2 linked regions of the Mus musculus genome follow. The protein of the gene in region 1 interacts with the protein of each later gene in a pairwise test. Links are inferred from orthologs where the notes say so. Each region holds a gene or a part of one and is shown in the gene's direction. Other genes may lie near its edges.

Region 1 (3,814 bases):
AGAGCACAAATCAAGATTTTAGAAAAAAAAAATTCTGCATGTTTTTAGAATGCTATCAAAACATTAACAATAAATTAAAATTTATTAAAAATAAATAAAAATTTAGAACAGCAATCAAAAAATTACTTTTTTTGATGGGAAGACCATTAGAAGAAAACCAGAAGAAGGCATGATCTGGCAGAATACTATGAAATGTCCTGGTTTGGGGGGAATGGGTGCCTCACTCGTTCCTGCCTTCCTCTTGTGCTGTAATCACACTCTGAGTTAAGCCCTTAACCGTGGCTAGCGGTGGTCGAGGTGCAGGAATCTTAGGGAGAAGGGCGTGTTGAGTTGGCTCTGAAGTAAGGTTCTTTCCTTATGTCCCTGTTGTTAACGTCCCCTGTGTGCCTCTCAGGTACGAAGTGCTGCAGTTCTGCTGGCTGCCTCCTGACAAGAGGCCAGCCGCAGAAGACGTGCACCGTCTGCTAACTTACCTGAGGATGCAGAGCCAGCGGGACTCGGAGGTCGACTTTGAACAGCAGTGGACTGCTCTCAAGCCCGACACCAACAGCAGGGACGCATCCAGCAGCGCTGCCTTCCCCATCCTTGACCACTTCGCCCGGGACCGGCTGGGTCGGGAGATGGAGGAGGTCCTCACGGTGACGGAGACCAGCCAGGGCCTGAGCTTTGAGTATGTGTGGGAGGCTGCCAAGCACGACCATTTTGATGAGCAGGGCCGGGGCCACCCAGATGAAGCCCTGTCTTACTCCAGCATGTTCTTCCCAGTGGAGGTGTTTGAGAATTCGCTTTCAGATCCTGGCCCTGGCAAGCAAGATGACAGTGGCCAGGAGGTGCCCGTGAGGGCCCCTGGGGTGGTTCCTGTGTTTGATGCACACAACCTCTCTGTTGGAAGTGACTACTACATCCAGCTGGAGGAGAAAAGCAGCAGCAATCTGGGACTGGACCCCCCTGCACTGCTCACAACTGAAGTAGATAAGCTAGAGAGGGCTGGGGCTGAGGAACCCAGGACAGAAGAGGATTTCTTCCAGAGCAGTGCTCACCCCAAAGAAGCCAGCTCTACCGAGGACTCACGTGCTACCAGCATCCCTGGGAGCCCTTTCAACCTATTTAGTGACCTTGACAAAGCAGATGACCTGCCCAGTCACCAAAAAATATTTGATCTAATGGAACTAAATGGAGTTCAAGCTGACTTTAAGCCAGCCATCTTGAGTTCAAGCCTGGATGACCCCAAGGACACCTGCCAGTCTGACAAAGAAAAGCCCCATAAGCTCTTGGACCAGGGCCCTCTGTGCTTATCAGAAAGCCTTTTGCACCAAGATCACTTTGATCCACTGAGTGTCCAAGAATTGTCAGAAAACTTTTTATTTCTTCAGGAGAAAAATCTACTGAAAGGCTCTCTGACTACCAAGGAGCAAGTGAGCGACCTTCAAACAGAACTCAAGAATGCAGGTTTTACCTCAGCACTGTTGGAGTCACCCCAGAGAGGCTCTGAAAGTTCTGAACTTGAGTTCCTGGAAAATACACTAGACTTTCCTTTGTCACAGGGAGACACGCGTGGACAGAATGAAGGTGCAGGTGTCAGGCGTCACAGTGGTACCTCACCACAGGCCTCCCCAGCCTTGCTCACAGAAGAAGGATCTCCTACTGCCCCCACAGACCCAATTCTGAAGCCAGAAGAAACCAAATCCTTTAGAGATGTCAGAGTCCCCGAGGACTCCATCTGCTTGGAGCTAGGCCCCGACCCCGTGACTGTTGGAGTTGAAATTCCTGCTACTGATGCCAAAACCCTCGATGGGGGCAACAGACCCCCAGACGTCACTTGCCAAAGCAAGGAGGCCTTGAGTCTAACCAACAGACACCCCATCCTTGTGAATGATATTACTGCTCAGGGTAGCGTGGAGAGTTGTCTTCCAGAATCGAGACAGGATTTACAAAATGAGCCATTTTCAGAAGACCCTCTTAGTGTCAGCTCACTGGAGAAACACTCGGAAGCTGCGGAGACTTTAAACCAGCTTAACTCTAAGGCTGCCCCGGAGGATGCAGCCTTGGCGTCTGCCCTCTCCTCGGATTCTACCAGCCAAGATAGCCTCTTAGAAGACAGTTTGTCAACACCCATCCCCACCTCAGAGCAGTCTGTGGAGACGCCAGACTCCCTGGATTCAGTGGATGTCCGTGAAGCATTGCTAGAGTCCCTAGGCTCCCACACCCCTCGGAAACTCTTGCCTCCCGATAAGCCTGCCGACAGCGGCTATGAGACGGAGAACCTGGAATCTCCTGAGTGGACCCTGCACCCTGCACCCGAAGGCACTGCTGACTCAGACGCAGCTGCAGCAGGTGACAGTGGCCACAGCAGTTTGCCTCCCAACCCGGTCATTGTCATCTCGGATGCAGGCGATGGCCACAGAGGTGCTGAAGGTCCTCCTCAGAGCTTCACACTTGGCCCCCAGAGTTCATATCGAGACTCTGCATACTTCTCAGACAATGACTCGGAGCCAGATAAAAAGCCCGAGGAGGTCCCAGGAACATCTGCCAATGCCCTGGTGTTGGTAAAGGGCCAGTCCCCACCTGAGTCAGTTGTCCCAGAAGAAAGCTCTGATGTCAGAGAAGGCTGCCTGGAAGCCCCACAGGACAAGCCAGATCAAAGTCGGGTGTCTACTTTGCAGAATTCTTGTCACTCAGAACTACAAGAAACATTGCAGCCCACACCAGCTGATGCTTCCAGAGAGTCCTGTCCTGTGAACGACGAGGCCAGCAGCCCCTTGAGTTTGTTGAATTCAGAACCTAGCAGCTGCGATGACCTGGACACACAGGAAGATCGCCCATGCACCCTGGCCTCCACAGGTACAAATACCAATGAACTCCTTGCATACATGAGTTCCACACTGGATAAATCTTTGCCCAGCCACTTGGAGAGCTCCAAGCTGAAGGAGCCAGACATTGAAGGGAAATACCTTGGCAAACTTTGTGTGTCTGGGATGCTGGACCTCTCGGAGGATGGGATGGATGCCGATGAGGAGGATGAGAACAGCGACGACTCGGACGAGGACCTTCGAGCCTTCAACTTGCACAGCCTAAGCTCTGAGTCTGAAGACGACACGGAGCACCCTGTGCCCATCATTGTCAGTAACGATGATGGTAGGCACCTGCGGAGTTTGCTGAAACCCTCAGCTGCCGAGGCCATTGAGCAGCTGCCGGAAGACTGGAAGAAGGAAAAGAAGGCAGTGACATTTTTCGATGATGTCACCGTTTATCTGTTTGACCAGGTATCTCTATTTATATTGTAGAGAATTTCAAAAAGGTGTGAAGCTAACTGTGGTCTGATTTGATTTTGTTTATAAACATCCAGAATTTTATTTCAGTTTGTGTGTGGTGTGCATGTATGCATATTTGTGTGTGTGTGTGTGTGTGTGTGTGTGTGTGTGTGTGTGCGCACATGTGCTTCTCTGTGGGGAATGGAGGTTGACGCTGGGTGTCTTCTTTGTTCACTTTCTACATTATATAGAGAGCCAGGTTCTCTTCCTTACACCCCAAAGTTACTGATTCAGTTCATCTTAGCCAGCTTACTCTGGAGGTCTGTCGTCTACCTTTTGTACCCTGAGATAACTTGTGGGTATTTCTCCACATTTACATGGGTGCTGGGGACTTGAACTCCAGACCTTATGCTTGCTTGGGAAATGTTTACCCACTGAGCCATCTTTTCAGCCCCCCAAATTTTATAACTTCTGACTCCAAAGACACCATCTTTTTGGTCCCATGGCTATTCATGCCAGCTTCCCCTTTGAAATGCAAACCTCCTGACTCACCTGGAGACCTG
Region 2 (3,893 bases), on another chromosome or scaffold:
TAAACAACCGGAAAGATAAAGCGGGCCAGTTGGCTCAGTTCTATAAAACCAGCCCACAAGGATTGTCACTATTCTTAGGCTTGCGCGGGCTACATGATGAGTTCCAGGACTGCCTGGTTACAGACCGAGACTCTCTCAAGAGTCCAGATAAACAACAACAAAGGGGGCGAGGTGGAAATACAGGGGCTGTAAGAAGTAAATATGATATCTGCATGGGAGGCTAGCCAGAGAAGAAAAAATTTTCTTCCGTGGTTCAATCCTCCAAGGGCTGAACAGGAAGTTGACGCAGGCAGGTGAGGAGCACGAGCCTAGATGGGCTGCGGTGCCACCCTTAATCCCCACAAGCGAGTTCCTCCGCAATTCGCCTGTCCCACTCTCAACTTTTCTTCAACTGACTCTTTGCTGTGGTCCCTCGCTGTGGCAGTGGAAACAACTACCACTGCGAGGTAGGGAATGTCATGAGGGGCTACCTGCAGCCCTTGGCTTGCAGGGATGCAGGGATGCGGTCGGAACCTGAGGCCCCGCCCTTCTCTTGCCCCACGCCATTAGGCCACGCCCCTACCCAGCACTCCTTCAACCACCCCCTTCCCCGGCGCCTCATGAGGTCCCGCCCCTCTCAACCCTAGCTCTTGAGGCCTCCCCTTCACAGCCGCCCCGGCGTTCCTTGACTTGAGGCCACGTCCCTCTGCTCCTTCATTCCCAAGACCCTACGCTTTGCGAGTCCTCCCTGTCCTGCTGCCTAGGACCCCGCCCCTCTCAGCCCTTCTGCCCCAAGACCCCGCCCCTTAGGCTGTTCCCGCCCACTGGCCAATGAAGACCCGCCCTTTCTTTAGCCGCCCCGCCCCGGTCCCACAAAATCCCGCCTCCGGCCCCGCCTCCCGCCCCCTTGGGCGCTCCGTAGCAGTGACGTGCGCAGGCTGGGCACTCTGCAGGGCTCTCTGGCCGGCGGGTGGAGACCGATCCGGGATCTGTCCCAGCAGGAAGCGTATCCCGGCCGCCGTCGTGCTGTCGTCTCCGGTGCTCGCTCTCGGCCGCGGTGTCGCGCTTGCCCTTCGCGCCCGCAGCCCGGCAGCCTCTCCACGGCCGCGACCCCTCGCGCACCTGCCTCGCCGGGTGAGTGTGGGCGCCTGCCCGCCTGCCTGTCCTCACCGCCTTGGCCTCTGCTCTGCCCGGCGCGGACTGGAGCTCTGGCTTCCCCTTCCCGGGCCAGCGGGGCTCCTGTCACCTGACGAGTCCCACCCGACACTGCAAGATAGTTTTATTTTCTCCTTTCGAAACACAGTGAAAAAGCTACACAGTCTAGTTTGTTGTCAGAGTAAAGATCAATTGATACCATTAATAATTTAGCTGTGTCGAAGAAGACCATGGTAGCATACTATAAAGCTGGAATTTTAGTTCCTAAGCGTTCTAGTATTTTGAGTGTGAGTTTTACGGATGTGTTGCTGAAAATAACTTTGTTATTTAATTCCAAATCGTCTTAAACTAATTAAAACGTGCTAGCTGTGGATTGTATTTTAAAATAGGAAATAATTTGATAAGGCCATTCTTAGATAATCTATGTCAGGAACTTTTACACAAAGATACATTTTATCCGGCATAAAGTATGTAGGGCAGAGCTGTTTAAATCCCAATGTGGAGATACTGCTGGAGCGCTACACAAACGCTGCTCCGATTTCATATGTGTTGAATAAAACTTTAGTTTGCTCTCGTGTTACAGTTGCAGGATTTTCGAATATAGTTAGTCAGCTTGAGACTTTTAACAGCCTTTGAGGCTCGGCTGTAACACCATAAAATCTGAGTCTTGAGCTTGGTGGTGGTCATGGTCCAAAGGTTGGCTGCGGAACAGCAGCATTTCTGTACAAATTAACTCGACTTCAAGACATCTTGGCTTGTGGTTTTCCAACTGGGAAATGTTTAGTGAAAAAAAAATTACCTTAGTGCTCTCTAGCATTAATTTTAGAAATGGCCACAAATGCTACAAGGGGGACAGAGGAAGCCCAGAAACAATGTAGTTCTTCAGAACAGCTCATTGACTTTTAAATGTCTGCCCATTTTCTGTGTTTGCAGTTGCACAGGAGTAAACAGGCACAGTGATAAATAGAAGTCATTTTAGTCTGATGCTCGTCGGCCTGTAGTGTTTTTATTTCGTGTGTGTGATCTGTTACCCATTTTTTTCCCTCTTCCTTTCAAGTTTTGTATTTGTTTTCAAAAGTTACTTGTAAAAGGCAGGGACAGAATACAACCCTTAAGAAAAGAGTATTGCGATTATACAGTTAAAAAGCCGTGGAGTATAGATTTTACATATGGTCTTTAGTACCTAGACACATGAGCAAGAAAAAGTGAACAACTATGATTTTTCATAGAAGCTACAACATATTAAAAACAAAGATGCAAATTATAGTCCATGGGACTTGTCCGAAAGGGATTTTCCCTTGTTTACACGATCAAATTTTAAAATAACAGTGGCCAGGAAATCGGAGAGAAGCCGAAGGCTCCTCGCTCATCCTGTTGTGACTTTGCCTGGCGTCTGTGGTGGATCACTTATTGTTTAGACAACTGGACTGTATCTGGGTTTTGAAAGGCCTTTAGATGGTTTTAAAGATTTCCACCATGCAAGGTCTGAATAAATCCATAAGAACTCCACATAAAAAACCATTCTCTAGTTTTTAACTTTCTCTTGGTATTCAAAACTCCACTTAGGGTACAGGATTGGGAGTGTAACTCAGTGGGTAAAGACCTTGCCTTGTGTGTGTGTGTGCGCGCGCGTGTGTGTGTGTGTGTGTGTGTGTGTGTGTGTGTGTGTGTGTGAGGCCCTGGGTACTGGAGTTTCATTTATATTATTATATATATTATATTAGAACATCTTATTTAAACATTGCAATTTGAAAAACACATTGCAATTTGAATAAATCTCACACAGTATAATGGTGATTCCCAGAAAGAGATACTTTGTTAACAGTTTATGAGCTGGCGATTTAGTAGTGATGTGACACACAAAAAAAACCCCTAAAGGTTTGATTTACAAAATAATATTCCAGGTTGACAGCCTTTCCTTTTATAGAGGAGAAAACAGAGGCTCAGAGAATGAATACTTGCTTGTAGCTTTGGAGGGGCAAAGTCCAGACTCTGAGTACACATGGAAGTCTCTGACAACAAAGCCTCTCTCCTCCTTTGCCCAGAAGTTGTCTTGATTTCGGTTTACTTGGTGAACTATTGAGAGCCCTTTGTAGGCCTGATCTGGAGATTAGGAGTCGGTACCCTAGGTAAACTGTGATAGGCCATGCATGGAGTCTAGAACGAACTGAGAATTCTGTCTTCTTTCTCAAGGCCTTGAGCAGTGACCCAATGCTTTGGCATCACGTCTGGAGTGGTTCCAGCATGTATTAAGTATTATGTGCTTTTCATTTTGATGGGTTTATAGGAATTAACACTGCAATCTAATCCTGGATTGATTTCATTGTAGCTGAGCAGTATATGATGTTTCTGGTCAGGATGGAACTTTGGTTTTTGTCCTTCAAATGAGCTAGATTGTTGCTCTTTAATACAGTAGCTGTCTTTTAAATGTTATTCAATTAGCTTTAACCTTAGGAGGGAAACATGCTTCAAGATTAAGATATCTAGGCCTGGGAGATGCTTAGCAGGTAAAAACACTTGTCTGGAACCCTGATGACCTTAGTTGGATACCTGGGTCTCAAGGAAACAACTTCTGTGAATTTGTCCTCTGACTACCCCACATAGGCCTTGGCATATAGCTATGAACAAATAGTTGTGCTTTAAGAAATAAAAAATAGTGGTGGTGGCGCACGCCTTTAATCCCAGCCCTTGGGAGGCAGAGGCAGGCTGATTTCTGAGTTCGAGGTCAGCCTGGTCTACAGAGTGAGTTCCAGGGCTAT

The links.
Region 2: the proteins of Lmtk2 (region 1) and Myo6 interact in a two-hybrid assay, tested with the Homo sapiens proteins (2 studies listed by BioGRID). The link is inferred for Mus musculus from reciprocal best matches to the Homo sapiens genes LMTK2 and MYO6.

What each region holds. Positions count from the first base shown.
Region 1 is NC_000071.6:144,173,215-144,177,028, forward strand, and holds part of Lmtk2 (serine/threonine-protein kinase LMTK2 precursor), read left to right. Parts: intron 1-394; coding exon 395-3,263; intron 3,264-3,814. UniProt on the Homo sapiens protein: Phosphorylates PPP1C, phosphorylase b and CFTR.
Region 2 is NC_000075.6:80,164,117-80,168,009, forward strand, and holds the start of Myo6 (unconventional myosin-VI), read left to right. Parts: upstream 1-917; 5' UTR 918-1,113; intron 1,114-3,893. UniProt on the Homo sapiens protein: Myosins are actin-based motor molecules with ATPase activity. Unconventional myosins serve in intracellular movements. Myosin 6 is a reverse-direction motor protein that moves towards the minus-end of actin filaments.